2 linked regions of the Macaca fascicularis genome follow. The protein of the gene in region 2 purifies or fractionates together with the protein of the main gene of each other region. This does not show direct contact. Links are inferred from orthologs where the notes say so. Each region holds a gene or a part of one and is shown on either strand. Other genes may lie near its edges.

The links.
Region 1: the proteins of HSPD1 (region 2) and SIRT3 purify together in Homo sapiens (affinity purification with mass spectrometry; 3 studies listed by BioGRID and IntAct, counting the BioPlex papers as one, with this or other methods). This does not show direct contact. The link is inferred for Macaca fascicularis from reciprocal best matches to the Homo sapiens genes HSPD1 and SIRT3.

Annotation. Positions count from the first base shown.
Region 1 is NC_088388.1:112,778-129,129, forward strand, and holds the start of SIRT3 (NAD-dependent protein deacetylase sirtuin-3, mitochondrial), read right to left. Parts: upstream 8,078-16,352; 5' UTR 8,042-8,077; coding exon of another isoform or gene 7,962-8,041; 5' UTR 7,839-7,961; coding exon 7,720-7,838; intron 7,408-7,719; exon of another isoform or gene 7,113-7,407; intron 4,635-7,112; coding exon 4,443-4,634; intron 4,332-4,442; coding exon 4,099-4,331; intron 1,453-4,098; coding exon 1,352-1,452; intron 1-1,351. Other genes in the region: PSMD13 (26S proteasome non-ATPase regulatory subunit 13), read left to right, coding at 8,206-8,300, 10,135-10,213, 15,467-15,501, 15,587-15,642, 15,857-15,900, 16,095-16,181.
Region 2 is NC_088386.1:93,102,623-93,118,874, forward strand, and holds the end of HSPD1 (60 kDa heat shock protein, mitochondrial), read right to left. Parts: exon of another isoform or gene 16,164-16,252; intron 16,006-16,163; exon of another isoform or gene 15,947-16,005; intron 15,018-15,946; 5' UTR 15,016-15,017; coding exon 14,842-15,015; intron 13,547-14,841; coding exon 13,294-13,546; intron 10,267-13,293; coding exon 10,184-10,266; intron 9,000-10,183; coding exon 8,904-8,999; intron 8,495-8,903; coding exon 8,401-8,494; intron 7,733-8,400; coding exon 7,564-7,732; intron 4,929-7,563; coding exon 4,829-4,928; intron 3,975-4,828; coding exon 3,729-3,974; intron 2,899-3,728; coding exon 2,724-2,898; intron 2,442-2,723; coding exon 2,263-2,441; intron 1,266-2,262; coding exon 1,113-1,265; 3' UTR 648-1,112; downstream 1-647. UniProt on the Homo sapiens protein: Chaperonin implicated in mitochondrial protein import and macromolecular assembly. Together with Hsp10, facilitates the correct folding of imported proteins.

The sequences.
Region 1 (16,352 bases), on a different chromosome or scaffold from region 2:
CAGAGCGAGACTCCGACTCAAAAAAAATAAAAATAAAAAAAATAACTCCATTGCTGAAATTTTTTGTTTTTTGAGACGGAGTCTCGCTCTGTCGCCAGGCTGGAGTGCAGTGGCACCATCTCGGCTCGGTACAACCTCTGCCTCCCAGGTTCAAACAATTCTCCTACCTCAACCTCCCGAGTAGCTGGGACTACAAGCGCCCACCACCACGCCCAGCTAATTTTTGTATTTTTGGTAGAGACAGGGTTTCACCGTGTTAGACAGGATGGTCTCAATCTCTTGACCTCGTGATCTGCCCGCCTTGGCCTCCCAAAGTGCTGGGATTACAGGTGTGAGCCACTGTGCCCAGCCTGAAAAAAAATTTTTCAACTGTGTGTAGGTGTATGTACATAAATACGTGTAGCACGTTTACATAAACATATCACTTTTTTTTTTTTAAAAAGGCCTGGAACATTATACACCAAGCTGTTAAAAGTGGGCAACAGGGGCTGGCGTGGTGGCTCATGCCTGTAATCCCAGCACTTTGGAAGGCCAAGGTGGGCGGATCACCTGAGGTCAGGAGTTCGAGACCAGCCTGGCCAACATGGTGAAACCCTGTCACTACTAAAAATACAGAAAAAGAAAAAAAAATTACCTGGGTGTGGTGGTACATGCCTGTAATCCCAGCTACTTAGGAGGCTGAGGCAGGAGAATTCCTTGAACCCAGGAGACGGAGGTTGCAGTGAGCCAAGATCACCCCACTGCCCTCCACCCTGGGTGACAGAGCAAGACTCCGTCTTGAAAAAAATTAAAAAGTAGGCAGCTGGAATTGGCTGAAAGGAGATTCATTTTCCCTACATATTTCTTCTTTTTTTTTTTTTTTTTTTTTTGAGACGGAGTCTCGCTCTGTTGCCCAGGCTGGAGTGCAGTGGCCGGATCTCAGCTCACTGCAAGCTCCGCCTCCTGGGTTTACGCCATTCTCCTGCCTCAGCCTCCCGAGTAGCTGGGACTACAGGCGCCCACCACCTCACCCGGCTAGTTTTTTTTTTTTTTTGTATTTTTTTTAGTAGAGACGGGGTTTCACCGTGTTCACCAGGATGGTCTCGATCTCCTGACCTCGTGATCCGCCCGTCTCGGCCTCCCAAAGTGCTGGGATTACAGGCTTGAGCCACCGCGCCCGGCCTTTCCCTACATATTTCTATATTATCTTAAATTGTTTTACAAACATGTATTAAATTTCTAATTTACAAATAAAAATTTTCATACTATTACTGTTCAACTGTCCTTTCGAGACAATGCTTATAAAATACCACTTTTCCAGATCACCCCAACAGCAAACTGCAGAAGGACGACCGACAGCAGGATAACTCACCCGAAAGTCCTCCCCTGGGAAGGGTCTTCGGCAGACTGTGCAGGTGGCAGAGGCAAACGTTCCATGAGCTTCAACCAGCTTTGAGGCAGGGATGCCCGACACTGAAATTCAAGCCAAAGCTAAGTGTTGCTGCTGCCTCCAAGATGAGCACACAAGTCCCAGAGCACAACTTCTGGGCTTGGCAGGCCTCCTGGAAGGAGGCACAACCCCGTTGGGTTGCGATGTCCTCAAGCCTGGTGTTCATGCCCATATCACCTACATGCACCACCAACCAGAATAAGGCAGGGGAGCAAAGGGGCGCCCAGCTGGAGCCAAATCACGGTTAAAACAAAGCCTGTCAAAACTCAGTACAAAACACCATTTGATAAAAGCTCAAATAAAATTATATCCAGTCGGGCACGGTGGCCCACGCCTGTAATCCCAACACTTTGGGAGGCCAAGGTGGGCAGATCATTTGAGGTTAGGAGTTTGAGACCAGCCTGGCCAACATGGTGAAACTCTACCTCCACTAAAAATACAAAAATTAGCCGGATGTGGTGGCGGGCACCTGTAGTCCCAGTTACTCGGGGAGGCTGAGGCAGGAGAATCGCTTGAACCTGGGAGGTGGAGGTTGCAGTGAGCTGAGATCGTGCTACTGCCCTCCAGTTTGGGCGACAGAGAGAGATTCTGTCTCTAAAAAAAAAAAAATTATATCCAGCCGGGCGCGGTGGCTCAAGCCTGTAATCCCAGCACTTTGGGAGGCCGAGACGGGCGGATCACGAGGTCAGGAGATCGAGACCATCCTGGCTAACACGGTGAAACCCCATCTCTACTAAAAAGTACAAAAAACTAGCTGGGCAAGGTGGCGGGCGCCTGTAGTCCCAGCTACTCGGGAGGCTGAGGCAGGAGAATGGCGTGAACCCGGGAGGCGGAGCTTGCAGTGAGCCGAGATCCGGCCACTGCACTCCAGCCCGGGCGACAGAGCAAGACTCCGTCTCAAAAAAAAAAAAAAAAAAAATTATATCCAATACCAGGCTGGGCACAGTGGCTCACAGCTGTAATCCCAGTGCTTTGGAAGGCCAAGGCAGGAGGATCACTTGAGGCCAGGAGTTTGAGACCAGCCTGGGCAACATAGTGAGACTTGTCTTTAAAAATTTTATAAATTAGCCAGGCATGGCAGTGCATGCCTGTAGTCCCAGCTAGTCCAGAGGCTGAGGCAAAAGGATCACTTCAGCCCAAGAGCTCAGGCTATAGCGAGCTATGATCATGCCACTGCACTCTAGCCTGGGCAAAAGAGCCAAGACCCTGCCTCAAAAAATTGTATCCAATATCTAGGAACACATTTTCTATTCTATACCAAGTTAAAATGAGGATATAAATATCATAAATTCCAAAAGAACGGCTTGGTAGAAAACCAGACAAAAAGTGACTTCCTATGAAGGCTGTGTTAGTGTTGTCATGGTCCCCGCTGTAGGAGGCTTCCCAAGTCCCTGTCGCTGCCCTAACTCAGCAGTGCTGAATCTCACAGCCAGGAGCTCCCGCCTTCCCACAAGGCATGCCCTGCTGCACCTCTGGGAGAAGAGACCACCAACATGGGGTACCCACTGCTGCCTCTGTGGTTCCAAGCTAGGGGATCCTTCTGGCAAGGAAACACATGCCTGGAGCCAAGGTGCCTCCTCTTTTTACCTGACAACACATCAGCAGACTGGCTGAGCCGCTCCTGGCTCCCGGAGGGCTGACTGTCCCAGCGCCTGTCCACAGCACTGCACTAAGGAAAAGGCCCCACCAAGTGCTTCCGCAAGGTGCACGGCCAGAAGGTGGCACAACCTGTGAACCGCTGGTTTGGGCACCATGTGGATATGGCCAAGAAATCACCACAGACTGGGTGTGACAATATTAAGGAATTACTAGTGATTCTTTAGCGTGAAAATGGTATCAGAGTTGGTTTTATTTTTTTTTAATTATTTTTATTTTTATTTATTTTTTTGAGACAGAGTCTCCCTCTGTCACCCAGGCTGGAGTGAAGTGGCATGATCTCGGCTCACTGCAACCTCCGCCTGCTGGGTTCAAGAGATTCTCCTGTCTTAGCCTCCCAAATACCTGGGATTACAGGCACACGCCACCATGCCTGGCTAATTTTTTGTATTTTTAGTAGAGATGGGGTTTTGCCACGTTGGCCAGGCTGGTCTCGAACTCCCGACCTCAGGTGATCCACCTGCCTCGGCCTCCCAAAATGCTGCGATTACAGATGTGAGCCACCACACCTGGCCGGAGTTGTTTTTAAAGTATCCTCTAGAGATATCCATTCATGTGTTTATAGATTATTTCTAGATTAAATTCATGATATGAGAGGTTTGCTTCAAAATAATCTGGGGATTTGGAAGAAAGTGGTGAGGACGCAGGAAGGACTGGCTATGTGCTGGTGATGAGGACAGGACGGTTCGTTACATTTTTCTCTTTGCGTGTGCTCAAAAAAATTCCATAATACAATTTTTAAAAGAGAGAAGAAAAAAGAGAGATCATCACACCAGATTGGCAAAACAATGTCAACTTCTGCCCAAAATACACAGCTCTGCAGGTATGTAGGAGAACAAGCAGTGGCCTTTAAACACCCAGAGACATTTTCCTTGGGAACAAAGCCCTAACTAGTTGGCTCAAAAACAGTCCCAAGGAAGAAGCACAAACACCAGGCTTCGGCCGTCCCCAGAAACAGGCACCTGAGCCTTCCCTGTGAGAAAAAGAATGTGTGCGACTCACAGAGGGCTCACCTCTCTCAAGCCCATCGATGTTCTGCGTGTAGAGCCGCAGAAGCAGCCCCTTGTCATGAAGCAGCCGGAGGAAGTAGTGAGTGATGTTGGGCTTATAGTTTCCAGGGTACAGCTCCTTGGCCAAAGTGAAAAAGGGCTTGGGGTTGTGAAAGAAGAATGGGAGTTCGAAAATGGCCTCGGGGTACGGGAGATCGTACTGCTGGAGGTTGCTGTACAGGCCACTCCCTGGAGATCTGCAGGGAGAGAAGACAGAGGCTCTGAGGCCTTTGCAAGAAACCGGGCAGTGGGGAGGGCAGGAGGCAGGGGAGGGGAGTGCAGAAGGCAGGTGGGACTGCGGGCAGTACCTGAAGTCTGGAATGCCACTGGGTGTGCTGATGCCGGCTCCCACCATGGCCACCACCCTCTGGCAGGCTCTGGCCCGAATCAGCTCAGCTACATCCTGCAGGGAAAGCTTCCCCTTGTCACTGTCGCCTCCACTTCCAACAACACTTGAAGCACCCACAGAAAAAGATATAGGCCTTCTTCCACCTTTAATACTGACAGAAAAAAACACAGCAGCAAAGGAAACAGATAGCGACCAGTCTCAGGATAGCAAGAAAGCATGGTTCTGCCCTCTGCACCACCCCCACCATCCAGAATGACCATGTATGTCCTCCCAGGCCTCTCAAAATAATCACCTTTCTCAGATGACTAGTGGGCTACAACGGAAAGCAGTCATAAATCAGAATCAAGACTTATTTGGGAGCAAAAATTTCAGGTTAATGGGAACTGTGCTCATTTCATAATTCAGTACACTCAGTAGGCACTCAACTCTCTGAGTGCAAACCTCCAAAGGGGTTTTCTTTTTTTTTTTTTTTTTTTTTTTTTGACACGGAGTCTTGCTCTGTGCCCCAGGCTGGAGTGCAGTGGCGCGATCTCGGCTCACTGCAAGCTCCGCTCCCCCGGGTTCACGCCATTCTCCTGCCTCAGCCTCCCGAGTAGCTGGGACTACAGGCGCCCGCCACCTCGCCCGGCTAATTTTCTTGTATTTTTAGTAGAGACGGGGTTTCACCGTGTTAGCCAGGATGGTCTCGATCTCCTGACCTCATTATCCGCCCGTCTCGGCCTCCCAAAGTGCTGGGATTACAGGCGTGAGCCACCGCGCCCGGCCCCAAAGGGGTTTTCTAATGAAAACTCGTCAAGTAGTCGAGAAGCAAAGAGGGAAAACCCTGGCTCTAAAACCATCTCACCACCTATTAAACGCCCCATTTCAGACATTTATTAACTTAAAGTCATTCCTCAAATAGCTACTGTGCTGCTACTAAACATGAACTGTTAAGAGAAGCATAAAGGAATGAAAGTTATTATGGCTGTTGAGTGCCTGCTGAGGCCAAGGTATCCCGAAGGGTGCCTGAGTACATTCCTCATCTACGTAAATAAAATGTTTGTGAGTCACTGAATAACATATAAACGGCATTTTACCAAATGTCTGGAACATCAGATGTATGGCTTAAAGTATATGCTGCATGGTGTGAAATTCACTGGGAGTGGGGGACCCTGAGGGGCAGGCATGGGGGCAACCTGGGAGGGACACTGTGCAAAGGACACAAAGAACAAATTCAGAGAGCTCCAAAATCCAAAGCCAAACTGCAGAAAGCCCATGCAATGGACTCCTCATAGGGAGCCCGGTGCCTCCTGCTTTAGGGCCAGTGGTAGCAAGGATTTGTTTAACAGTCTTGCAGAGTATCACTGATATTAGAATGCGCTCCATGTGTTTGTCGGTCCTGGTCCCCGCTCCATCCATAGCACCTAGAACAGAGTCTGGCACAGAACAAGAGCTCAGTCAGGGCTTCTTGGATGAATGACTGACTCTTCAGGATCTTTTGTTTGAGATGGAGTTTTGCTCTTTCGCCTGGGCTGGAGTGCAATGGTGCAATCTCAGCTCACTGCAACCTCCACCTTCCGGGTTCAGGTGATTCTCCTGCCTCCGCCTCCTGAGTAGCTGGGATTACAGGCGCCCACCACCACCCCCAGCTAATTTTTGTAATTTTAGTAGAAACGGGGTTTCACCATGTTGGCCAGGCTAGTCTCGAACTCCTGACCTCGTTATCCACTTGCCTCATCCTCCCAAAGTGCTGGGATTACAGGCATGAGCCACCATGCCCAGCCGACATTTCAGGATCTATTAAACTTTTTTTTTCTTTTTTTTCCCAGGTAGATAAGAGTCTTGCTCTGTCACCCAGGCTGGAGTGCAGTGACTCAATCATAGCTCACTGCAGCCTTGAACTCTTGGACTCAAGGGATCCTCTTGCCTTAGTCTCAGAAGTAACTGGGACAACAGGCTTGCGCCACCATGCCCGGCTAATTTTTAAATTTTTTGTAGAGATGGAGGTCTCATTATGTTGCCCAGGCTGGTCTTGAACTCCTGGCCTCAAGCTATCGCCCTGTCTCAGCCTCCGAAAGTGCTGGTATTACAAGGGTGAGCTACCACTTCAAGCCTCACTTTTCACCAATATTTTCAGCAGTGTGTCAGACAGCATCAAGTCAATGTACCATTATTTACTTAAATATTCATCCATCATAGGGCATTTGATACCTAACAACCATGGACCTTAAGATTTTTTCCTATGTAGGCTCAGCTCTTAGATGCAATTACTATGGAGACGGGTATGATCACATGGGGTGGGAGCATTAACCGCACAACATTTATGAGGGATAATTAAAGCGTTAAATGCATATACTTTTGGACCTAGCAGTCCCAGTACTAGGAATTTATGCAAAAAGTGAGGTGCAAACAAGGTTATTCACCACAGCATGATGTAAGTAACTAAAGGTTAGAAGATATTTCAATGGGGGAATGGTGAACTAAACGACAAAACCCCGTAAAGGACGTCCACAGATCAGCGTAAAGACGGGCGGGTGTTGGAACGGAAGTAACTCCCAGACATGCCTCAAAGGAAACACCGCAAGGTGAGAAAGGGGGGCGAGGTGTAGACAACGAACACGCAAGAAGTGCTTGTCCTTGCCCAAAATACCTCGAAAAGAAGAAACCGGGAGCTGCTGCCCTCGGCTGCCTCCGGAATGCCCTGGGCACCGCGGGTCTGGGAGGCCTCTGCAAGGGGCGCGCCGAGTCCAAGGGCTCACCGCGGACCCCGCGGCTGCCTCTCGGTCCCGCACTGACATCGTCCCTGCCGCCAAGCACCAGCCGACAGCTCCAGGCCTGGAACGGCCCCACGTCTCCCCCGGCCTCGGCCCGTTCAGCTACCCGGCCCCACACCCGGACGGCTGCCACGGCGCGCCAACCCCAGAACGCCGTGTTCCCCGCAGCCTGAGGAGTCCTCCGGACTCGCCCCGCCTCCGCCTCCCGGCCCCGCCTCCGCCTCCCGGCCCCGCCTCCGCCTCCCGGCCCCGCCTCCGCCTCCCGGCCCCGCCTCCGCCTCCCGGCCCCGCCTCCGCCTCCCGGCCCCGCCTCCGCCTCCCGGCCCCGCCTCCGCCTCCCGGCCCCGCCTCCCGGCCCCGCCTCCCGGCCCCGCCTCCCGGCCCCGCCTCCGCCTCCCGGCCCCGCCTCCGTGTCCACGCCTCCGGCGCGACCTGGTAGACGCTGAGGCCGAGTAGAGGAAGTTCCCTAGTCTGGTGTCTGACCTCTCGCCCAGGAGGTCAAACCTGGAGCCAGCATTTCTGTACCCTGCGCTCACACCTTTTTCAACCCGGATGGCGGTGACAGTTAATACTTTCTGAGCGCTTTTACTATGGTCAGGCATTATATTTACACCTAGTCCTCGCAAGACCCTACTGGGAAGGTCATTTGAGAGCAGCAATTCCGGGTCACAAAGGCTGACACCACAAAGCTAGTCCATGGCCGGTTCGACCACAGGCACCCATACTTTTTAAGCCTCAGTGGCACAACCAGGTGCGCGGGAAGCGGGCTGCAAACGCCGGAGAGTTTTGTTCCGAGCGCAGACATGCGCGGTTACCGGGCAACCAGCGGGCCCCGCCCCCCGGCCGGCTACGGCGCTCCCAGCCTGCCCCGCGCCGCGCGGCGCCGGAAGTGAGTGAGCATTTCCGGCAGACATCCCCGCGGGGCTGACATCCCGGTTGTTCTTCTGTGCCGGGGGTCTTCCTGCTGTCATGAAGGACGTACCGGGCTTCCTACAGCAGAGCCAGAGCTCCGGGCCCGGACAGCCCGCTGTGTGGCACCGTCTGGAGGAACTCTACACGAAGAAGTAAGCTCCGAGCAGACAGACGGGCCCTGGGCCCCGGCGATAGAGGGAGACGGAGGGGGCGGGCGGGCGGAGAGGCGGGCCCTTGATGGGCTGAGGGCGCCCAGACCCAAGTTGCGGGGAAACGGGGACGTGTAGCGACTGGCTGTGCCGGCAGGGTTTGCTGAGGAACCCCGAGTGGCAGGGTCGAGGAATAAGAAGGATGACAGACCACGAGGGCCAAGAGCTGTAGCCAGGGATGTTTGGGTCTGAGATTCAGTGCTTCCCTAACGAGGGACTGTGACTGAGGCTTCTGAACTCGTCTACCTCGGGTCTTACTAAGACGGTTCAGGGGAAGCCTTTGCTTTTAGCTCTGTATTCCAGCGAAACAAGCAAACACACTTTCAGAACCAGATTGCCACCCACTTTGAGAAACAGATCTTGGTGATTCGCGCTTAGCCTTGGCATGGTGTAACTGTATCCACAGTTATCTTTCTCATGGTCTGGAGTTGATAAACCAGAGGCTAGTGCAGCTTTGCTCTCTTCCCTATTCATTCTGCAACTGGTTGCACCCCGTCCCATTGTCTTTACCTTCCATTGTATTTCTCGCTGGGCTGTGTGCCCCTAGAAAGATCTTAAAGTTTAAGTTTGTTTAGAAACAGGATGAATTGCAGAGCCATTAAATTGTTGCTAAGCACTAATCTCCTTTTAAAATGATAGGATAAATTGCTGGCATTGGGCTGGAGCTATTCCATAGAAAATACATCTCCTGTAGTAACCTCCCTGTTAACCCTAGCATTTAATATAATACCTTTCACATAGATGTTCCATACATGTTTTGATGATGTTTAGCATTCAGCAGCCTTCTGCTATTAGCAGTTTTTGAGAGCAAATTAATGTTTGGCAAATAATGGTTTGTGTTGGATAGCACTTGGTAATTTTCAAAGCATTTCATATGCGTTATTAAATATTAGCCTTTAGGTTTTGGATGAAGCGCTATTTAATCCTTTATTCATCCTTTTCACAGAGGAGGAAACTGAAGCTCGTTTTAATTGTCTTCCCTGAGATACTAGCTAATAGGTAGAAGAGCCAGAATCTCAAGGTAGATATGTATGATTCCAAAGTTCTCGTTTCCAATCAAACCTCACAGTAACCCTCTGAGGTAATCTAGAATAATGTTCTCCATTTCATACCTGGGAAAACTGAGTCTTAGAGAGAAGTTAAGTGATCTTAAAGTGACATAGCCATTCAACAGCAGAGCCAGGAAAAGAACTCAGGTTTATCGCATCTGCTTTAGCATTCTTTCTACTACACAGTAGACACTGGTTAGTATGGATTTAGCATCTCTTACCAGAAATGCATTGGGGCGGCGGGGCACGGTGGCTCATGCCTGTAATCTCAGCTACTCGGGAGGCTGAGGCAGGAGAATCACTTGAACCTGGGAGGCAGAGGTTGCAGTGAGCCAAGATGGTGCCACCGCACTACAGCCTGGGCAACAGAGTGAGACTCTGTCTCAAAAAAAAAAAAAAAAAAAAAAAAAGAAAGAAGAAGAAAGAAATGCATTGGGGCAAAAGTTTTTTGGATTTAGTATTTTTTCGGATTTTGAAATATTTTCGATATGTGCTTACCCATTCAGTATCCATGAATCAAAAATCTGAAATCTGAGATGCTCCAATGGTCGTTTCCTTTGAGCCTTACGTTGGTGCTCAGAAAGTTTTGGATTTTGGAGCATTTTGAATTTTGGAGTTTTGGATTAGAGATACCCAACCTATATTTGTGACTTGATAGGATCATCAAGGCTGAAGGTGTCTGTGACTGGATATTAGGTTAGAGGTCTTAAGGGCTGTATGTTTTTCAGGTTGTGGCATCAGCTGACACTTCAGGTGCTTGATTTTGTGCAGGATCCGTGCTTTGCCCAAGGAGATGGTCTCATTAAGGTAAATAATTTGCGATACCAGGTCAGATTATATGAATGTGCTCAAGGACTTTTTAAAATAAGATGGGCTTTTTGCTAATAATAATAATAATAAGCTACAATTCTTCAGAAGTCCCTTTATGTCAGGTACTGGTCTGAGTGCTTTACACGTCCTTCCTAACGACGCTGCTCAGTAGATACTACTTTCATCTCACTTTTTTGATGTAGAAGCAAACGTAAGACTTTAAGTAACTTACTATAGGTCACTGCTAATAAGTGGCAGAAGAGGATTCAAACACTAACATTCTGGCTTTTTCTAAAATTCTGGCATAAAGTACTATCTTAAAACATGCCTGAGTATCTTAGTTCATAGGCTTCTTTTTAGTACTCTATTTTTAGAAAACTGTTATTAGATACAAAGTTCAAACCCAGTTAGAGGGTGGAGTAAGGTGTGAGGAAGATTACTATCTGTGGGAATCTTAGATAACTTCCATCACTCCCCTTCTTTAAGCCACACTGACTGCTTTCCCAGACACTTCTGTCCTGGGTAGTGTGGAAGATAAAGCACCTTTTGTACTTCGGTTGAGGGTAGGTGGGTTGGAGGGAGAGTTCTGAATAGTGTCATGCTGCCTCTGTAATAGAGGACTTCTAGAATTTTTTCAACAGTTTAAAAAAACGCAGTTTCTTTCCTAGCCTTCCCCAGATCCCCTGACACATCCCCACAAATTTGCTCACTGGTAGCCTCCTCTTTGAAGTTTTTCCTGACATCTTACTCTCATTCTGAATGAAACAGAGATTCACACCAGCATTGTAACTGATAGCTTATAATTACAGCTTGAGTCATTTCTCCGGAATACATTACTTTTATATGCTCACAACAGAGCTTACCACCTTACTACCCCACCACCTGGGCTTGTAAGATTTTCTTGTGGTTTATAGCCATCAATTTGACATTTTACTATTTAGAGGAACTTAAAATCATCTGTAAGCCTGGAGATTTTGCTGAACATTCAGTCTTCTGGATTATGTGGGAAAATGATAAATGAGACCTGCCTTTTTTTTTTTTTTTCTTTTTGAGACGGAGTTTCGCTCCTGTTGCCCGGGCTGGAGTGCAATGGTGCGATCTTGGCTCACTGCAACTTCCACCTCCCGAGTTCAAGCGATTCTTCTGCCTCAGCCTCCCAAGTAGCTGGGATTACAGGTGCCCACCACCACAGCTGGCTAATTTTTGTATTTCTTAGTAGAGATGGGGTTTCACCAGTGTTGGCCAGGCTGGTCTCAAACTCCCGACCTCAGGTGATCTGCCTGCCTCGGCCTCCCAAACTGCTGGGATTGTAGGCAGGAGCCACCGTGCCTGGCCTGAGACCTGTCTTAATACTTGTTCCCTGAGGTTCTAAATCATCAGGATAGATGATTCCTAATTGTTTATCTCTGTCCTTTGGCTTCTTATCTTTAAATCACTTTTCTACACGTGGCAAAATATGGCCGCAACCTCACGGTAAGGTGATGTTTATTTAAGTTGGCAGATCTGAGTTTACTTTTCCCATGGACAGAATAAACCTTTAAAAATTGTTGGGATCCAGTCGGCATAAGTGTAAATGGATATTATTTGTGAAATTCTAGTATTTGTGAATTTCTAGTATTTGTGAATTTGTAGTCACCAGAAGTAATTTTGACTTTCTGGACTTAGTGGGCTTCTTTTTTAAGGTACTTTTTTAGATCAATAGATGTCAGGAAAGTTCAAACATTTCCCTCTAATAAGGAAAATATCTTTGAAATAGTCTCTTGTAGCAAAAATGCCATTTTTAAAATTTTATTTATTTATTTTTTTATTTTTTTTTTTTTTGAGACGGAGTATCGCTGTGTCGCCCAGGCTGGAGTGCAGTGGCCGGATCTCAGCTCACTGCAAGCTCTGCCTCCTGGGTTTTTACGCCATTCTCCTGCCTCAGCCTCCCGAGTAGCCGGGACTACAGGCGCCCGCCACCTCGCCCAGCTAGTTTTTTGTATTTTTTAGTAGAGACGGGGTTTCACCGTGTTAGCCAGGATGGTCTCGAACTCCTGACCTCGTGATCCGCCCGTCTCGGCCTCCCAAAGTGCTGGGATTACAGGCTTGAGCCACCGCGCCCGGCCAAAAATTTTATTTATTATTATTTTTTGAGACAGAGTTTCGTTCTTGTTGCCCAGGCTGGAGTGCAGTGGCACAGTCTTGGCTCACTACATCCTCCGCCTCCCTGGTTCAAGCGATTCTCCTGCCTCAGCCTCCAGAGTAGCTGGGATTACAGGCTCCCGCCACCACGCCTGGCTAATTTTTGTATTTTTATTAGAGACAAGGTTTCACCATGTTGGCCAGACTGGTCTCAAACGCCTAACCTCAGGTGATCCACCCACCTCAGCCTCCCAAAGTGCTGGGATTACAGGTGTGAACCACCACCTGGCCACCATTTTATTTATTTTGGGGGGCAAGGGGACGGAGTCTCACCCTGTCACCCAGGCTGGAGTGCAATGGTAGAACTCAGCTCACTGCAACCTCCGTCTCCCCAGTTCCAGCCATTCTCATGCTTCAGCTTCCCAAGTAGCTGGGATTACAAGCATGTGCCACCACACCTGGCTAATTTTTGTAGTTTTAGTAGAGATGGTGTTTCACCATGTTGGCCAGGCTGGTCTTGAACTCCTGTCCTCAAGTGATCCACCTGCCTCGGCCTCCCAAAGTGCCGCATTACCGATGTGAGCCACAGCCTCGGGACACAAATGCCATTTTATTTAGTTGGCTGTTTCTTGTGTGCCTGATTCAAACATGTAATTGCTACAGGGGTGTGTTCATCCTTCTACCTTCGTATCCCAGAGGAACTACAGGCTCTCCTAATCCAAAGTTAAGGTCATTTGGAGGGTCCCTCTCCCACTGTGCCCACACTAGGCACTCTTTTGGCCCGGTTACCCAGGCCATAAGCTCAGGGGTTATTGTCAGCTCTCCTTCTCTGTGACCAGCCCACATCTGAGTGAGTCTGCTTCAAGTTACCCCTAAATCTCTCTCAGAGTATTCATCCATCCTCATTACTGTTGCTCCTTCACGCTCCTGTCTTGGCCACTACTAGCCTCTGACTGTTCTCGGTCTCTTTCACCTGCTGTCCTCTCTGCCCCAGGCATGTTTCTAAAATAGAAATGATCATGTGGGTCCTCTGGTTCAGCCTTGCACTCTGGACAGAGACCAATCTTCAGTGCTTCCTAGTCTGTGTCCCTCAGAACTACTCCTGAAACATAATGTATTTTTGTCTTCAGTGCTTTTGCACATGTTTGTTACTGTCTGGAATGTTCTTCTCTCAGCTTCTTCCTCTCCCACACCACGTGGCCACCTCTCTAACTGTGCTCATTTTCCCGAAACTCAGTATTGCCACTTCTGCAGTAACCGTCTTTGAAGCTTCTCCCTTTGGCTGATGCACTTCTGTGCTTTTTCTTTCTTTCTTTTTGCACTTAAACTCACTGTATTGTCATTTATTTGTTTAAAGACTGTCTTCAGTAGACCAGGAGCTCCTTGAAGACCCATCATTTGTCTTACACGTTCTGTGCTGTACTACCTAGCATGGAGTCTGAGGAAGTGCTCAAGTGTGCTGAGTGGCTAAGAAATTTCAAAATGGCGCACAATTAGCTTTAACCTTCTAAAATCTGAAGGAACTCCATTCCGTTTGATTAGCGAGCATTTCTTTTTTGTTTCAAATTTTATTTCATTAATAGGTGAACAAAATGTGTATTTCAAATCTAATTGAAATTTATCTGAAATATGTTTACGCAGAAGATAGATATAAGATTTCAAGTAACTTATTGTATAGGCCATTGTCCGTTTTAAAATATTTTCTTCCAAAAAAAATGCATTGAAAGTCAAAAAACTTATTTTATACTCCATAAAAGTGAGGTGCAAACTTCTGATACAAGGTTATTTCACTGTCAACTCTGATAAAGATGGGAGGCACAAGGGTTCACAGTTCAGGTAAATAATGCAAACGAAACGCTTCTGTTTTCCTTTGATACAAATTAGAAGCCTCCATTCAGGTCTCTTAATGGAGGCTACTACGTACTTCAGGTCTCTTAATGGAGGCTTTTGCATACCAAGTAGTACCACATACTTGGTGCTGATACTACATTATGTCTTTTTCTTTTTCTTTTTTTTTTTTTTGAGATGGAGTTTCGCTCTTGTTGCCCAGGGTGGAATGCAATGGTGCGATCTCAGCTCACAGCAACCTCCGCCTCCCAGGTTCAAGCGATTCTCCTGCCTCAGCCTCCCAAAGGCACGTGCCACCACACCCAGCTAATTTTTGTATTTTTAGTAGAGACGGTGTTTCACCATTTTGGCCAGGATGGTTTCAATCTCTTGACCTCGTAATCCGCCCACCTTGGCCTCCCAAAGTGCTGGGATTACAGGCGTGGGCCACTGTGCCCCGCTTGTTACGTCTTTTTCTTTCCTTTCCCTTTTTTTCTTCCCTCTCCTTGTTGAAGACTTTGGTCACTGCCTCCTGCTTTTCCTGTTTTTTTGTGTCCTTGTTTTTAGTTGAGGTATCGTTTATGCTGCACACAACGTTACTGACTTCATGTGATGGGAAATGTGCAAGACAGAGGCTGCCATCTCCCGTCTGAGCTGGGCCCAGACTCTGCCTTTGTACTAGACATCACAATTCCATTCTCTAGAGTACATTCTCTTTTTCTCAAGAAATGCATTAAGTCCAACTGCTGAACATAGGTCTTGAACCTCTAGCTGTAGGATTTTCAACAGACTTACTTATGGGGTTTCACCTTCCTTGCACAATGGTCTTCTTATTACTTCAACAAACAGGATAGATACAAATAAACCTGTCCTGGTCGGCTGGAGACCACACAGCGGCACAAGCCGTCTTCACAAGCATCCAAATACCAACAGCCCAGAAGCCACAGGGAGAAAACTGGGGGAGCATTTCAATCTGATGTCTATTTAACTTACAATACCTGGAAGAAAGAATATAGGAATTTGTCTGGAGGTTCTTATCGGTCCGTACCCTAATTCCCAAAGCTAGAAGAAACCTAATGTTCCTTAATAATCTGTTGATCATACGTGAATGTAAATAAGCCCTAATATGGTCTCCTGTCATTCTGCAAACGTGCATTGCTTACTGTGTAATGGGCATTGTGGTTTGCACACTCCCAACTTGATAGCATTGATGCAGCTTCTGTACCAAAAATAGTATCTGGGGTCTTCATTTTGCAGAATACAAGACATCCTGTAATTTCTCTCCGTGTTTTGGTTTCACAGCTTTATGAAAACTTTATCAGTGAATTTGAACACAGGTAAAACCCTTTCATCCCTTTTTTACTTTGCAGATGAGTACTTTGATACTCATTGGTACTCAAAGACTGGTGGTTTTCATTTCAGGGTGAATCCTTTGTCCCTGGTAGAAATCATTCTTCATGTAGTTAGACAGATGACTGGTAAGTCTTACTTTGTTTTATAAAGGAGTAGATCCAAGTGGTAGTTAAAATTATCTTGAAATATAAGTTAACTGAACTTTTGTGCTTTCTGTATCCAATATTGTATTTTTATTCTACTTTATGGTCAAAACCTAAAGATTATCCTACCTAAAGATGTCTTGGTTAGTAGAAACCAGTCTGTTGATGGTTCTTCTGACTGTTCTTTCTTTTCCAGATCCTAATGTGGCTCTTACTTTCCTGGAAAAGACTCGTGAGAAGGTAAATGTGAGATGTGAGCAATACCTTTTAGGGTATGGATGACTTACAGTTTGTGTCCATGCTCACCATCCAGACCTTGAGAGACCACATGGTCTCTAGTCATCAAGGTTGCGTTAATGTGCAAGTAGCTGGCTTCTTTTGTTAGTCAGCTGCCCACGTTCTGAGGTTTCTTGTTTTTGTTTTTGATGTCTTAGGTGAAAAGTAGTGATGAGGCAGTGATCCTGTGTAAAACAGCAATTGGAGCTCTAAAATTAAACATCGGGGACCTACAGGTTACAAAGGTGAGCTCACCATATACAGATTTCTCTTTGGATTAAAATTATTTAAAACTGTAGGAAAAAAAAAACCTATTTTTGTTCTTTACTATTTATTTTAAAACATTTTTAAATTAGAGAAAAGTTGCAAAAATAACACAAAGAACTCCTATACCTCAACCCAAATTCCCCATTGCA
Region 2 (16,252 bases):
TTTTAAAAACATTTCTGTGGGTACATAGCAGGTGTATTTATTTATGGGGTACAAGAGACGTTCTGATGTAGGCATGCAATGTGAAATAATCATATCATGGAGAAAGGGGTATTAGCCCCTCAAGCATTTGTCCTTTGTTACAATCCAATTACATTATTTTTGAATATACAATTGACTATAGTCATCCCGTTGTGCTATCAAATAGATCTTTTTTTTGTACCCCAAACACAATCAAATTACCAAAGCCAAAGGTATTCTAGGTATAGGATTTCAAGTGACTCTTTCACGTGATGATGGACTTTATTTTTCCCCTCTACTTCTGTCCAAGGTAAGGACAGCAGAAATATTTGCCTCAATGCCTTGCTTGCAGCAGCAGCCCAAAGGCCACGCTGAGGTGGAGTTCCTTCCAACCTCCCAGATTTTACAGCTCTCTTGGAGGTCTCTCTCCAAGAGAGCTGTAAAATCCTTGCACAGGGGAAAATAGAAACTGTCTTTCCCCATTATCAATGGAATAATGTAGTTCAGTCTACAACAAAGAGAAACATGAAAATATCATAAGTAGGATGTTTTATACACATGCCAGTCTGCCCCTTCAACTGGCTTTCATTTTTCAGTATCTTCTAATCATGGAAAGGCTAACACAATTATTAACTTTAAACAAATTTTTATTACACAAAGGTTGTCACATAATTGGATATTTCTCTGCTTTGTACACAATTATTCTCACTCTCCACAGAAAGGCTGCTTAACTTCTCATCTGGTGGTGGCAAGCACTAAAATCCTGATTTTAACAGAATAGTAGTAAAAATGCCTCAGTGATTTAAGTTGAAAGCAGTACATTGGTACATGGCTCTTGTACCCATTATCAGGAATGTACAAATGTTTTTTATTCAAAAATACAAAATAAATTATCTGTAGGCATGGACAATAACAGCAGTAAACCATTATATATTTTGTCAACTGAAACCAGTAACTGATGGTTATAGTGATTTTCAGCCAGCCTTTTTCTTCATTTTCTCCAACTGACTTCTCTGAAGTTATTGGTGAGGAACACTGCCTTGGGCTTCCTGTCACAGTTCATTAATAAAGGTAAAGCACTACTAGTCTAGGAGTTAGAACATGCCACCTCCCATACCACCTCCCATTCCACCCATTGCACCCATTCCAGGGTCCTTCTCTTCTTTAGGAATTTCTGTGACGACAACTTCTGCTGTAGTTAACAGAGAGGCCACACCAGCAGCATCCAATAAAGCAGTTCTCACAACCTAGAAAAAAGTTTAATTAAACATTAGTTTTCCCTTAGTAAAATATGAGCAAGACTTACTGAAAATTTCTGTCTGGGCATGGTGGCTCACCCCTGTAATCCCAGCACTTTGGGAGGCCGAGGCAGGTAGATGAGGTTAGGAGTTCAACACCAGCCTAGCCAACATGGTAAGACCCCATCTCTACTAAAAATACAAAAATTAGCCAGGCATGGTGGCGCATGCCTATAATTCCAGCTACTCAGGAGGCTGAGGCAGGAGAATCGCTTGAACCCAGGAGGTGGAGGTTGCTGTGAGCCGAGATCGTGCCATTGCACTCCAGCCTGGGCAACAAGAACAAAACTCTGTCTCAAAAATGAAACAAAACCCTGTTCTGGGTATCTTGGAAAGTATTCTTACTGGCCAGGCAGGAACAGGGTGTTCCAGATCCATCCTGATTTTTTCCTGCCTCCAGGCATGGACTCAACTGCTACTCAAGGAATCCCCCTTCCTTTTAGTGGAGTATTAAATATCTAGGTTCGGCCGGGCGCGGTGGCTCAAGCCTGTAATCCCAGCACTTTGGGAGGCCGAGGCGGGTGGATCACGAGGTCAGGAGATCGAGACTATCCTGGCTAACATGGTGAAACCCCGTCTCTATTAAAAATACAAAAAACTAGCCGGGCGTGGTGGCGGGCGCCTGTAGTCCCAGCTACTTGGGAGGCTGAGGTGGGAGAATGGTGTGAACCCGGGAGGCGGAGCTTGCAGTGAGCCGAGATCACGCCACTGCACTCCAGCCTGGGAGACACAGCGAGACTCTGTCTCAAAAAAAAAAAAATAAAAAATAAAAAAATAAATAAATATCTAGGTTCTGAAGATGTACATGAGAATTGTTGATGGGCACAAGTGCTACTGCTGTTGCTACTGCTATTAGACTATTTTTCTGGTGACCAAAGATTTGGGATGTGGGGATATTAACAAAATGAACAACAAAAGAATTTTTAGAAAGTGTTCAACTATTTACCTTTGTTGGGTCAATAATTCCTTTTTCCACCATATTCACAAAATCTCCAGCCATAGCATCATAACCAACTTCTGAGGAACTCTGCATAATTTTCTCAACTATCAAAGATCCTTCAACACCTGCATTCTTAGCAATGGTCATTGCTGGAATTTTGAGTGTTCTTTTAATAATTTCTATACCTACAAAGAAATTTCAGCAAAATTTTAATACTTTCATTTGTAAATATTATAACACATTTATAATTTGTGAGGATATTGATGTAGGGAAATCCCAATCCTACTACAGGTCAAATAATTTCCTCTGAAAAAGATGTGATGCATGTTTAGCTCTGACATTAGCACTATTCTACTTCTGTTATTCAGGAAATGGATGTGCTGTTCCATTTAGGGGACTGCAACATTATTATTCTAACAGAAACACTAAAATCAGGCCACAAACTCATTTAAAAGGTAACTTTTTACCAATTTTTTGATCTTCATTAGCTGGAGTCAATGAGTCCAAGGCTGGAATGCATCGAAGCAGGGCACAACCCCCTCCCAAAACAATGCCTTCTTCAACAGCAGCTCTTGTAGCATTAAGTGCATCTGTAACTCTGTCTTTCTTTTCATTCACTTCAACATCACTTGTCCCACCAACCTAAAGATGAAAGAATTTCAGTTAGTATGGCCTCTTCATTCAAGATGCTAATTGCCAAGTCATTTAAAAGCAGTTTACTTAAAAAGCAATCCTGGGGTGGGCATGGTAGCTCACACCTGTAATCCTAGCACTTTGGGAGGCTGAGGTGAGTGCATCACTTGAGGTCAGGAGTTTGAGACCAGCCTGGCCAACATGGTGAAACCCTGTCTCCACGAAAAATACAAAATTAGCCAGGCATGGTGGCAAGCACCTGTAATCCCAGCTACTCGGGAGGCTGAGGCAGGAGGTTTGCTTGAACCCAGGAGGCGGAAGTTGCAGCGAGCCAAGATTGCACCACTGCATCCCAGCCTAGGTGACGGAGGGCTTAAAACAAAACAAGGCCGGGCGCAGTGGCTCAAGCCTGTAATCCCAGCACTTTGGGAGGCCGAGACGGGCGGATCATGAGGTCAGGAGATTGAGACCATCCTGGCTAACACGGTGAAACCCCATCTCTACTAAAAAAAATTACACAAAAACCAGCCAGGCGTGGTGGCGGGCGCCTGTAGTCCCAGCTACTCAGGAGGCTGAGGCAGGAGAATGGCGTAAACCCGGGAGGCGGAGCTTGCAGTGAGCTGAGATCCAGCCACTGCACTCCAGCCTGAGCGACAGAGCAAGACTCTGTCTCAAAAAAAAAAAAAAAAAAAAAACAAAACCCACAAAACAAAACAAAATTCCACTATTAATTCCTCAAATATTTGTTTAGTTCCATGGTACTACTGGGGAATACTACAGAAGGACAATCATTCTTGGACTCAGAACCCAAAAAACTTATTCATAATAATGAATCTTACCTTCAGCACAGCTACTCCATCTGAAAGTTTTGCTAGCCGTTCATTCAGTTTTTCCTTTTCATATTCACTAGTTGTGACATCTAACTGCTCAATGATTTCTTGAATACGTTTTTCAATTTTAACCTTGTCACCCTTTCCTTTTAAGAGCATGGCATCATCTTTGGTCACAATGACCTCTCCAACTTTTCCTAAGTCATGAGGCTGAACGTCTTCAACATTTATGGTCAACCCCTCTTCTCCAAACACCTACAAAATGAGTTAAACGTAAACCAGCTGTAGGTTACAGTTTCTACCATTATACCAAGTTTATTAATATACCAGGCAAGAGAATCATCTTGAAATATTCTTTGAAATGAGAGACTGTAAGATCATTGTTAGTCCAGAACAAGACTTGAGTATAGTCTTCCATTGCATTTCCAACTTCTCAATTCTCCCAACTCTGGTAATTATTATTAGCCTTACTTGAGAAAAAAACATCCAAGGTCACACTTACTGGTAGAGCCAGGACAAGACCATAGGCCTTGACTCTCAAGTCCTACATCATTTGTAGCACACACTTTTATCTTTCAAAACTGAAAACAGATCCCAGGACTTTGGGAGGCAGAGGCAGGCATATTGCTTGAGTCCAGGAGTTTGAGAAGCCTAGGCAACATAGTGAGACCCACCATTACTAAAAGTAAAAAAATTAGCTGGGCATGGTACTGCACCTGTAGTCCCAGCTACTTGGGAGGCTGAGACAGGAGGATTGCTTGAACCCGGGAGGCGCAGGTTGCAGTGAGCCAAGATTGTGCCACTGCATTCCAGCCTGGGTGACAGATCAAGACACCCTGTCTCAAAAAAAAAAAAAAAAAAAAAAAAAAAGAAACCCCTTATTCAGTCAGTAAGATTTAGTGAATATAGAATAGTCAATAAAAGCCCATTCTTAGGCCAGACTCGTGGCCTCGTAGCTAATTAAAGGGAATTTAATCCAACCCCTACCTTCCAAAGAGCCAACAGAAACAGATAGCTGTAGTATCTAATTGTGAAAAATGTTAAACTATCTATAAATTTCAGACAAGTATAAACATTCAGCAAACCATTATCGCATTTATTTTACTTACTGCACCACCAGTAGCAATAGCCATATCTTTAAGCTGGTTCTTTCTATTGTCACCAAACCCTGGAGCCTTGACTGCCACAACCTGAAGACCAACCTTTAGCCTGTTAAGAATAGTTGACAGTAAGATTTAAATGAAATAAAAATGCCTCTGTTTAAATTCCCCTCAAGCTCTGTTACTACTTAGATTACTTAGGACTCCCTAAGTAATCTGGTTTGGTTTTTGCTTTTTTTTTTTTGCTTCCTAGCAATTTTTGATCAAATTAAGACAGGAAAGATGTGAGACAGTTAAGGCTATTTTCTATTAATCTATACTTGTTCATATCTGTTTATCTTCTTAATAAACTGTTGGCCTTGCCGGGCGTGGTGGCTCACGAGGTCAGGAGTTTGAGACCAGCCTGGCCAAGATGGTGAAACCCCGTCTCTACTAAAAATACAAACATCAGCCAAATGCGGTAGCAGGCACCTGTAATCCCCACTACTCGGGAGGCTGAGCAGCAAAAATCACATCACAATAAGTTATAGGATACAGTGATTAACTATTATGAATGGTAGAAAAATAATTACTAAATACTACATTTGAGGGTCATTTAATAAACATCTACTCCATAGATTGTATTAATGCTGAGTTTTGAATGAGCAATGTTCTGAATTCACTTCTTTTATAAATGTTATACAAAAAGCTGACAGTATTGTTAAGCTCACCTGAAATTTTTGCCAGGTAAATGAATACTTAGAATGTGCAATCAAATGTCCATTTGAGAACAGATTGTGAAACAGAAGGAATGTTCAAACTTCAAGACAGCTGGTCTATTTTATTAAGGACCCAAATAAAAATTAGAGGAATAAGCTATATGCTATGTAAACTGGATATCCCAGTTTTCAACTAGCAGTTAAATGGCCTAATGAAAACTCCGTAGACTTGTTTTTTTCTGGCCTCAAGTCTTTAAGGTGAGATCTCGGCTCACTGCCAAGTTCTGCCTCCCAGGTTTACGCCATTCTCCTGCCTCAGCCTCCCAAGTAGCTGGGACTACAGGTGCCTGCCACCACGCTCAGCTAATTTTTTTTTGTATTTTTACTAGAGATGGGATTTCACCATGTTAGCCAGGATGGTCTCCATCTCCTGGCCTCATGATCCACCTGCCTCAGCCTCCCAAAGTGCTGAGATTACAGGCATGAATCACCGCTCCTGGCCAAGTCTTTTCTTAATCCCTCCAACAAAGCAAATCCAAGCTAAGAAAAACGTTCCAGGGTAAGGCAGCTCATTAGAGCTTTTGCGTCACATCAACACATGTAATGTCTAAAACATACCTCCTAATTTGTGCATTTCTACTATAATGAAATGGAAAGAAAAGTCTTGCTTCTGACATACTTCAATTCTCAGATAAGGAAGAACAAACATTTTAATAATGCCCTTAGAATTAAAAGATCAGCCAAGTGTGCTTGTGCAAGTGTGTAGTCCCAGCTACTTGGGAGGCTGAGGCAGGAGGATTGCTTGACACCAAGAGTTCAAGGCTTCTGTGAGCTATGATCATGCCACAGCAGCCCAGCCTGGGTGACAGAGTCTGTCTCTCAAAACAAATAAAAAATATTCGATGGTGAAATACACTTACATCTCAGTTATTTATTTAGAGACAGAGTCTCACTTTGTTGCCCAGGCTGGAGTGCAGTGGCACAATCTCGGAACACTGCAACTTCTGCCTCCTGGATTCAAGCGATTGTCCTGCCTCAGCCTCTGAGTAGCCGGGATTACAGGCGTGCACCGCCAAGCTCTGCTAATTTTTATATTTTTAGTAGATATGGGGTTTCACTACGTTGACCAGGCTGGTCTCGAACTCCTGATCTCAGGTGATCCACCTGCCTGTGCCTCCCCAAGTGCTGGGATTATAGATGTGAGCCACTGTGCCTGGCCCATTTGAGTTATTTGGAATGTTAGTTGTTTACTTCCCTGTTCTATGCAAAATAATATTCTGAAAATATACATATTTTTAACCAGAAAAACCTTTAAAAAAAAAAAAAAAAAGATTCACACTTGAACCCAGGAGGCTTGAGCCAAGATTGAGCCACTGCACTCCAGCCTGGGAGGCAGACTGAGGCTCTGTCGCCAAAAAAAAAAAAAAAAAAAAAAATTACAAGCCGGGAGCAGTGGCTCACACCTGTAATTCCCAGCACTTTGGAAGGCTAAGGTGGGCAGATCACGGGTCAGGAGTTTGAGACCAGCCTGGTCAATATGGTGAAACCCTGTCTCTACTAAAAATACAAAAATTAGTCAGGTGTGGTGGCACATGCCTGTAGTCCCAGCTGCTCGGGAGGCTGAGGCAGAAGAATTGCTTGAACCCAGGAGATGGAGATTGTAGTGAGCCACGATTATGCCACTACACTCTAGCCTGGGCCATGGAGTGAGACTCCATCTCAAACAAACAAACAAAAAAATTACAAGATCCAGTCATGTACCTTCAAAACAACTGTAAACACTTGCAAAATATAGAAAGGTACCAATGTGCTAAATCAGTCTGTTCTACGTGACAGCTGGGCAAAATAGTAAAGAATTTGGGGTCCCTTTCAAAAACAGAACCATAAGGATACATAGAGCACATCTGATTTACACAATGACAATTCTAGATACAAACACAACTGGATCAAATGTGGAGGTACACATGATGGAGACTGCGAATAGAAACAGAAATAATTCTGTCTTTGACCCAGAAATATAAATCATCAAATACCACTGCCTATTACCTATTCAAGACGAGTGTACTTAGAGCTTCTCCATCAACGTCTTCAGCGATTATGACCAAAGGCTTACGGTGAGCATTGGCAATTTCAAGAGCAGGTACAATGGACTGGACACTAGAAATTTTCTTTTCACTCAGCAGAACATAGGCATCCTGGAATTCACATTTCTGACCTGTAAAAATAATGAAGATTTCAAAAATATACAAAAAATGACTGCAATGTATTTAAGTGAAAAGCTAAACCAAGGTTCCAATACATTTTAAAATTGATCAGTGAGTTTGTTTTCCTCCTTCATGTCTAATATGCATTAACTTTTGGAATATACACATTTATTTTTTAGAGTATGACACCAACTAATACCTATAGTTTGACACACATTAAGAAAGTATATTTTAAACATTTCAGTAGGCCAAAGCAGGCAGATGACTTGAGGCCAAGCGTTCAAAACCAGCCTGGTCAACATGGCTAAACCCTGTCTCTATTAAAAATACAAAAATTAGCCAGGCATGGTACTTCATACCTGTAATCCCAGCACTTTGGGAGGCCAAGGCAGGTGGATCACCTGAGGTCAGGAGTTAAGAGACCAGCCTGGCCAACTTGGTGAAACCCCATCTCTACTAAAAATACAAAAATCAGGTTGGCATGGTGGCGTGTGCCTGTAATCCCAGCTGCTCGGGAGACTGAGGCAGGAGAATCACTCGAACCCAGGAGGCGGAGGTTGCAGTAAGCAATGCGCCACTGCATCTCGCCACTGCACTCCAGCCTGGGCCACAGAAAATGAGACTCTGCCTAAAATAATAAAAAATAATAATAATTACTCAGTTATTGATTTGTTCTTACCTTTTGATGTATTAATAAAGTATGGAGAAATATAGCCTCGATCAAACTTCATGCCTTCGATAATTTCTAATTCATCATTCAGTGTTTTTCCATCCTATGAAATATCAAAGAATTAGGTATATTGATTTCATTGAAAACAAAACATGGAATTACAGGCCAGATTAATAAAAACAGACTCCTCTGGCCATAAGAGATGTAGGGTGGAGTATGAAAAAGCCCAGGACATCCAATTACACTTCTGCAAAAAATTCCAAGAAGTGCTTATTTGAATAATCATTTAAGTTAAGATGGATTCATTTCATGGAGTAAAGGCGAATTCACATAAAACACAGTAAGTACTTTATTCTATACATGTGCTGAGACTACATATGAAGGAATAAAAAAGCACTGTTTTTAAAACACAGAATTTTTCTATTTGGAAAATTCAGTTTTGATCATCAGATAACTCAAACTTTTGATCATCAGATAACTCAAACTATCTTTAAAAATACAAACACACTTGCCTTTACTGTGATGACACCCTTTCTTCCAACCTTTTTCATTGCATCAGAGATGATATTGCCAATTTCTTTGTCTCCATTCGCAGAAATTGTAGCAACCTGAAATAATCAAGTTACTCTTCAATAAAAGGTAAGGGTGGTGTCCTTAGTCAGTTCCCTTACCTTTTCCTAGTAACTTCCAAATTGATACTTCCATTCAGGGGAGAGAAGGGGAATTTACGTTATGGTAGTTTTCATGAAACACTGGTTCTTTGCTCTTTTCTGATTCATTATTTGACTACATTGTTTTGAAGAATATGATATATAAAACTATTCTTGGCCGGGCGCGGTGGCTCAAGCCTGTAATCCCAGCACTTTGGGAGGCCGAGACGGGCGGATAACGAGGTCAGGAGATCGAGACCATCCTGGCTAACACGGTGAAACCCCGTCTCTATTAAAAAAAAAACACAAAAAACTAGCCGGGCATGGTGGTGGGCGCCTGTAGTCCCAGCTACTCAGGAGGCTGAGGCAGGAGAAGGGCATAAACCCGGGAGGCGGAGCTTGCAGTGAGCTGAGATCCGGCCACTGCACTCCAGCCTGGGCGACAGAGCGAGACTCCGTCTCAAAAAAAAAAAAAAAACAAAAAACAAAACTATTCTTGTAACAAAAAGTTTAAAAATGCTGACTTCATTACAAACTGACAAAATTTATGCACCTTTGACAATGGCTAAGAACATTTTCACAACATACAAATCCATTTTACAGCCATGTTGAACTAAAATGACAACCACACGGCCGGGCGCGGTGGCTCAAGCCTGTAATCCCAGCACTTTGGGAGGCCGAGACGGGCGGATCATGAGGTCAGGAGATCGAGACCATCCTGGCTAACACGGTGAAACCCCGTCTCTACTAAAAATACAAAGAATTAGCCGGGCGTGGTGGCGGGCACCTGTAGTCCCAGCTACTCGGGAGGCTGAGGCAGGAGAATGGCCTAAACCCGGGAGGCGGGGCTTGCAGTGAGCTGAGATCCGGCCACTGTACTCCAGCCTGGGTGACAGATTGAGACTCCGTCTCAAAAAAATAAAAATAAAAAAATAAAAAAATAAAATGACAACCACATGCAGAACTAAATGACAACCATTAGGGTCACTATTCTTTTCAAAGGTTTTAGCAGTAAGAAACAATGATTCTAATATTGATGATTGCGTAGTATTGTTATTCTGACATTGGTGTGATCAAGGAAAAAAAAATTACACATGCCATTAAATTTTTTTAAAAACACATATAACATGTTAAGTCCTTACCTGTGCAATTTCTTCAGGGGTGGTCACAGGTTTAGACTGCTTTTTAAGTTCAGCAATTACAGCATCAACAGCTAACATCACACCTAGTTCAACAATATGTCATTACAATGTTTGTTTCTCTCATGGCTTCTAAGTCAAGTAGAAATCTTGAGATTCGTTACAAATATTTTAATGCCTTAAATTTATTTTTATTATTTTTTTTGAGACAGGGCCTTGTTCTGTCGCCCAGGCTGGAGTGCAGTAGCACAGATCACGGCTCACTGAAGCCCTGACACCCTGGGCTCAAGGGAGCAGCTGAGACCACAGGCTCAAGCCACCGTGCTCAGCTCGTTTTATTTTTGTAGACAAAGTCTCACTATGTTGCCAAAGCTGGTCTTGAACTCCTGGGCTCAAGTGATCCTCCCACCTCAGCTTCCCATGTAGCTGGGATTACAGGCATGTACCTATGCTTGGTCTTTAGTGCCTTAATATTAAATTTACACACAGCTTCTGAGACAGTGCTTCTTAATAACACAGAGTTGCATGGCATGTACTTAAACAGTAACTTTAGGTTCACACAGTAAATAAAATCTCACAATGCCAAAATTTTGAAAATAGGACTAAGGCCGGGCCTGGTGGCTCAAGCCTGTAATCCCAGCACTTTGGGAGGCCGAGACGGGCGGATCACGAGGTCAGATCGAGACCATCCTGGCTGACACGGTGAAACCCTGTCTCTACTAAAAAATACAAAAAACTAGCCGGGCGAGGTGGCGGGCGCCTGTAGTCCCAGCTCCTCGGGAGGCTGAGGCAGGAGAATGGCGTGAACCCGGGAGGCGGAGCTTGCAGTGAGCTGAGATCAGGCCACTGCACTCCAGCCTGGGTGGCAGAGCGAGACTCCGTCTCAAAAAAAAAAAAAAAAAAAAAAAAGAAAATAGGACTAAAACAAGGTAGATATGTATAGTTTCAAGAGTCTCACCACTGAACTCATCCTATGCAAATTATTCCTAACTCAATCATGCTGCCTGTTTTCAGTAGGGTCCCCAACACTTCTCATGTCCATTAGATGATGCAAAAAAGGACCAAAATGGTTAACACTCCCTTATTTTCAACAAGAAGTATAGTTCTTAAGTGATAGGAATCTGTTGTGACTATGCCTCTGCAGGTGTCAATTATCTGAAAACCCCTCAATTTAGTATGTATTATGAACTAACAAAATATTTTTGTTTTACATCACTCTTAACAGTCCTATTTTGCTCAACTGGGAGTAGTGCTAGCTCTCTTGTTGTTTGAGAAATGTTACTTCAAAAAAAATCCAATGCAAAGTGTTGGGAAGTCCTCTTCATAACCTTAATACTTGTTAGTGATTTACAGTAAAATTGCTTTTAGTAGCCAGGCGCGGTGGCTCAAGCCTGTAATCCCAGCACTTTGGGAGGCCGAGACGGGTGGATCGCGAGGTCAGGAGATCGAGACCATCCTGGCTAACCCGGTGAAACCCCGTCTCTACTAAAAAATACAAAAAACTAGCCGGGCGAGGTGGCGGGCGCCTGTAGTCCCATCTGCTCGGGAGGCTGAGGCAGGAGAATGGCGTGAACCCGGGAGGCGGAGCTTGCAGTGAGCTGAGATCCGGCCACTGCACTCCAGCCTGGGCTACAGAGCGAGACTCCGTCTCAAAAAAAAAAAAAAAAAAAAAAAAAATTGCTTTTAGTGAAGTGTAGTCACTTGGTCCATAAACATTGAAATATATGAGGTAATGATACATTAGTATGCCAATTCTGACAAAAAATTATCAATAGCTCCCCCACCTTCACTCACAAGAGGGTTCCTGGTTTCAACCCTAACATACGCTGGATATACACAGCAATTCTGCTGATAGGAAAACCAAGTCTTAGCACACAGCTAATAAATGACAAAGATGGGACTAGAATTTAAGTCTACACTGCCATGAAGTTCATGCTGAGGAGCAAATCTGTTAATTAAGTTGCACTCCAGTTACAAGCACTAACAAAACACAAACCAATAACACGGTGTGTGCTATTAAGAAAAAATAAACTAATGGGCCGGGCGCGGTGGCTCATGCCTGTAATCCCAGCACTTTGGGAGGCCGAGGCAGGCAGATCACGAGGTCAGGAGATCGAGACCATCCTGGCTAACACGGTGAAACCTCATCTCTACTAAAAAATAAAGAAAATTAGCTGGGCATGGTGGTGGGCACCTGTAGTCCCAGCTACTCGGGAGGCTGAGGCAGGAGGTTCACTTGGGAGGCGTGAACCTGGGAGGCGGAGCTTGCAGTAAGCGTAGATCACGCCACAGTACTCCAGCCTGGGGGACAGAGCGAGACTGTCTCAAAAAAATAAAAAAAAATAAACTGAGGAAAACATTACTTTCTGCCGGGCGCGGTGGCTCAAGCCTGTAATCCCAGCACTTTGGGAGGCCGAGACGGGCGGATCACGAGGTCAGGAGATCGAGACCATCCTGGCTAACACCGTGAAACCCCGTCTCTACTAAAGAAATACAAAAAACTAGCCGGGCGAGGTGGCGGGCGCCTGTAGTCCCAGCTACTCTGGAGGCTGAGGCCGGAGAATGGCGTGAACCTGGGAGGCGGAGCTTGCAGTGAGCTGAGATCCGGCCACTGCACTCCAGCCTGGGCTACAGAGTGAGACTCCGTCTCAAAAAACAAAAAACAAAAAACAAAAAACATTACTTTCTGACATTCTGAATGATCCAGTGTATTCAATCTTACTTTCTACAAAACTAAACTAAAAATTAGCCAGGAATGGTGGTGAGTGCCTGTAGTAGTCCCAGCTACTTGGAGGCTGAAGCAGGAGGATTGCTTGAGTCCAGGAGTTCCAGTGCAGTCCAGCCTAGGCTACAGAGCAAGACCCTGTCTCTAAAAACAAAAGAAACCAACTAAGTAAAACATCAAAATTACCTAACAGTACCTACCCACCATACAGCCAGGCATTCAATCACTACTTGCTAAAGGAAAACCCAGTTTAAGATTTCTCCAGGCCAAGAGGAATGAGAGAAGGATCAATTTCCTAAAGTAACAGACACTCTCCTTAGCTCCAAGGAATCAATGCCTTAAAGCACACTGAAGTTTAGAACACTGTAGTGACAATAGACATTCCTACCTCTCCTGATTTCCACGGGATTAGCACCTTTGCTAATCTTCTCGAAGCCTTCCTTGGCTATAGAGCGTGCCAGTACAGTAGCAGTGGTAGTGCCATCCCCAGCCTCTTCATTTGTGTTATTGGCAACATCTTGAACAAGTTTAGCTCCAATGTTTTTATATTTATCCTTTAAGTCAATTGACTTTGCAACAGTCACACCATCTTTTGTTACTTTGGGACTTCCCCAGCTCTGCTCAATAATCACTGTTCTTCCCTACAAGAAAAAAAATGTAACAGGATCACACATACCCTAAGGATTACTTATATTTTAAAAAATGAGCAGTCTTCATAATAAAGCAACTACTTCAAAGTCTCCACATAAGTTGTGTCATTTTTATCAGTCTTGCAGCATGAATCTCAAGGGCAAGTTTATCGACATTCTTTGTCTACAGACAGAATGACCTGTTTCTCTGCCAAGAGCATAATTTTGAACTAAGTAATTTAGAAGATTAAAATACTAGGGACTAAAATTTGTCATCTTATAAAATGAACAAGAACACAAGACAAAGAATAAAACAATCTTCCTATCACTTATACCTAAGTTTTAGTTAGTGCCTGTTATCTTTTAAAGCAATGTGACTTGTTTTAAAATTCGTTTAAAATATTAACCATCAAGGCAAGTAGTGTGCTCTTCCAAGTTCACTCAACATACAACTTCAACCATGGCACAGTTATTGACCATCCTTTGGATTTGAACTAAAGCTGCTACTTTCTATTCGTGAGGTGTGCAAATGTTGTGTTTTATGCAGTTGTTTGGATCACTTGATATCTGAACTGTCTTCAAACTGAAATGAAGCACCACTTGACCGCACACCACCTTCAAAGCCCCCCTCAAAATATTACCCCTATTAAATGAGACTTATTTTAAATATGCTTCGGAACAAGAGAACAGCAGAAAACCGATAGGTAAAACTAGCATCTTGAGGTGGAGGAGAGAATGGGAAGCTACTGTATAATGAGTACAAAATTACAATTTTCCCATATAAAAAGTTTTGGAGATGGATGGTGGTGGTGACTGCACAACATAAATGTAATTAATGTCCCCATGTCCCCAAAGTGCACACTTAATGGTAATTTTATGTTGTGTACATTTTACAATAAACCAAAAAAAAAAAAAAAATTTAGCACCTACAAGCACATACCTGAGGGATTATGGAAGATAAGTTAAACTCTTCTCTCTACACTTGGCATGAACTACTCAGAAAGGATCCAAATTTTAACTTAGGCAAGCAAAATTCTACCTCGAGTTTAAGAATCCATCTTGAGCTATGTTACTACCCGATTACATCACACATTGAACAAACTAGTTTCGAAAATCTGGCTGAAGCAGTTTAAGCTTTAAGATCATGTCTAAGAAAAAAAAAGTTAACCAATACTTCAGAATTCTTACATGTAAACTGAGTTCTCAAAAATGGATACGAAAGTACTGTTCAACAGTTCAGTGCGACTATTTGTGAGCAAAATGCTATTAATACTACCATAATTATAATAAAATAAAAATACTGATACCTTTGGCCCCATTGTAACGGCCACAGCATCGGCTAAAAGGTCCACACCTTGAAGCATTAAGGCTCGGGCATCCGCACCAAATTTTACATCTTTGGCATAAGCCCGAGTGAGATGAGGAGCCAGTACTCTGGACACCGGTCTCATCTGGCGAAAGACTGTGGGTAACCGAAGCATTTCTGGGGATGGAAGCAAATAGATAATCAGTACTACCACCTATGATGCGCTGCAGCACAAACATGCGCACCTGTGCAACAGAGCAAGCAACGTGAGATGGTGAGCCTGGCTGACCTCTGCCAGCCACTACACCTGAATGACGGAAGGCGCCGCAGCTTCGGAACATCAGCCACTACCGCAAGCTAAAGAGCCGCCCCGGCGCCTGACCTATAGCACTAGCACAAAGCACATGCAGCTCCTTCCCCACGGCCACCTATCCCTGCCGCCAAAAACGAGTTAATCTTTCACCGCGAAAACGGCCTTGTGGGCAGACCCACTCCAACTGTGGCCCCTGAGAAACCAAGTCAGCCGGAGAGAGGCAAGTTACAAATCCCAGTGACCAGGGAAGCTGAAAGTATTCCTGGCGGTGCAAAAAGCAGCTCAGCAAAGTATCTCCATGGATCCACCCAAGGCTACTGTATCAGAGCAGCCAGCAAGGCCGCGATGCTGGGGGCGGCGGCCCGGCCCACTCGGCGCGGGCCCACGTCTTTCCGAACGCCCCCAGCAAGGTCAAGAGTGAAGGCGCGGTATCCCAGCTAGCTGCGGGGGAAAAAAGCGGTTCCCTCGCGTACACCACCCTCCCCGGTTCCCCGAAGTCGACCAGGCGCGGGTTGCACCAGCGGGCCTAAGTGGCTACAATCCCCCAAATTCAATCCCCGTGAGTTGTCCCTCCTGCGCCCAGCCGAGGTCCAGGATCCGCGTCGCACGTGATGGAACCCGCATGGACCCGGGAGGCCTGGACCCGGGAGGCCTGGACCCGTGGGCCTGGGCCTGCGGTGCGGTGCAGAACTCCAGGTTGTCGTCGCCCGCATCCTCCAGCAGGACCTCAGAGGAGGAAGGCCCACTTGGGGGTCGCAGGCGCCGGGGAAGGCGGCGTGGGAAGGCCGCATACCTGCGGGGCGGCGGCGGGGCGTGCGCGCGGCGAGACAAGTCGTCGGCGGCGAGTGAGGGACAGAGTGCAGGGCGCACACGGCAATGAGCCCGTGTCCCCTCCCTCCGCCTCTCCCCCCGCCCCGGGGCACCACGTGTGCAGGCAGCTCCCACCCCCTTCCCGTCAGCCGGGCCCCTGCAATCTGCACACCCTGCGCGCGAGCCCCGCCCCTCCCTACCCGCGCAGGGTGTGCTAGCGCGCTCAGCCCTCTCCCGCCGGCTTAGGCTAGTTCCCGGGCCGCGCTCAGTTCCAGAACTTTCCGGAAAG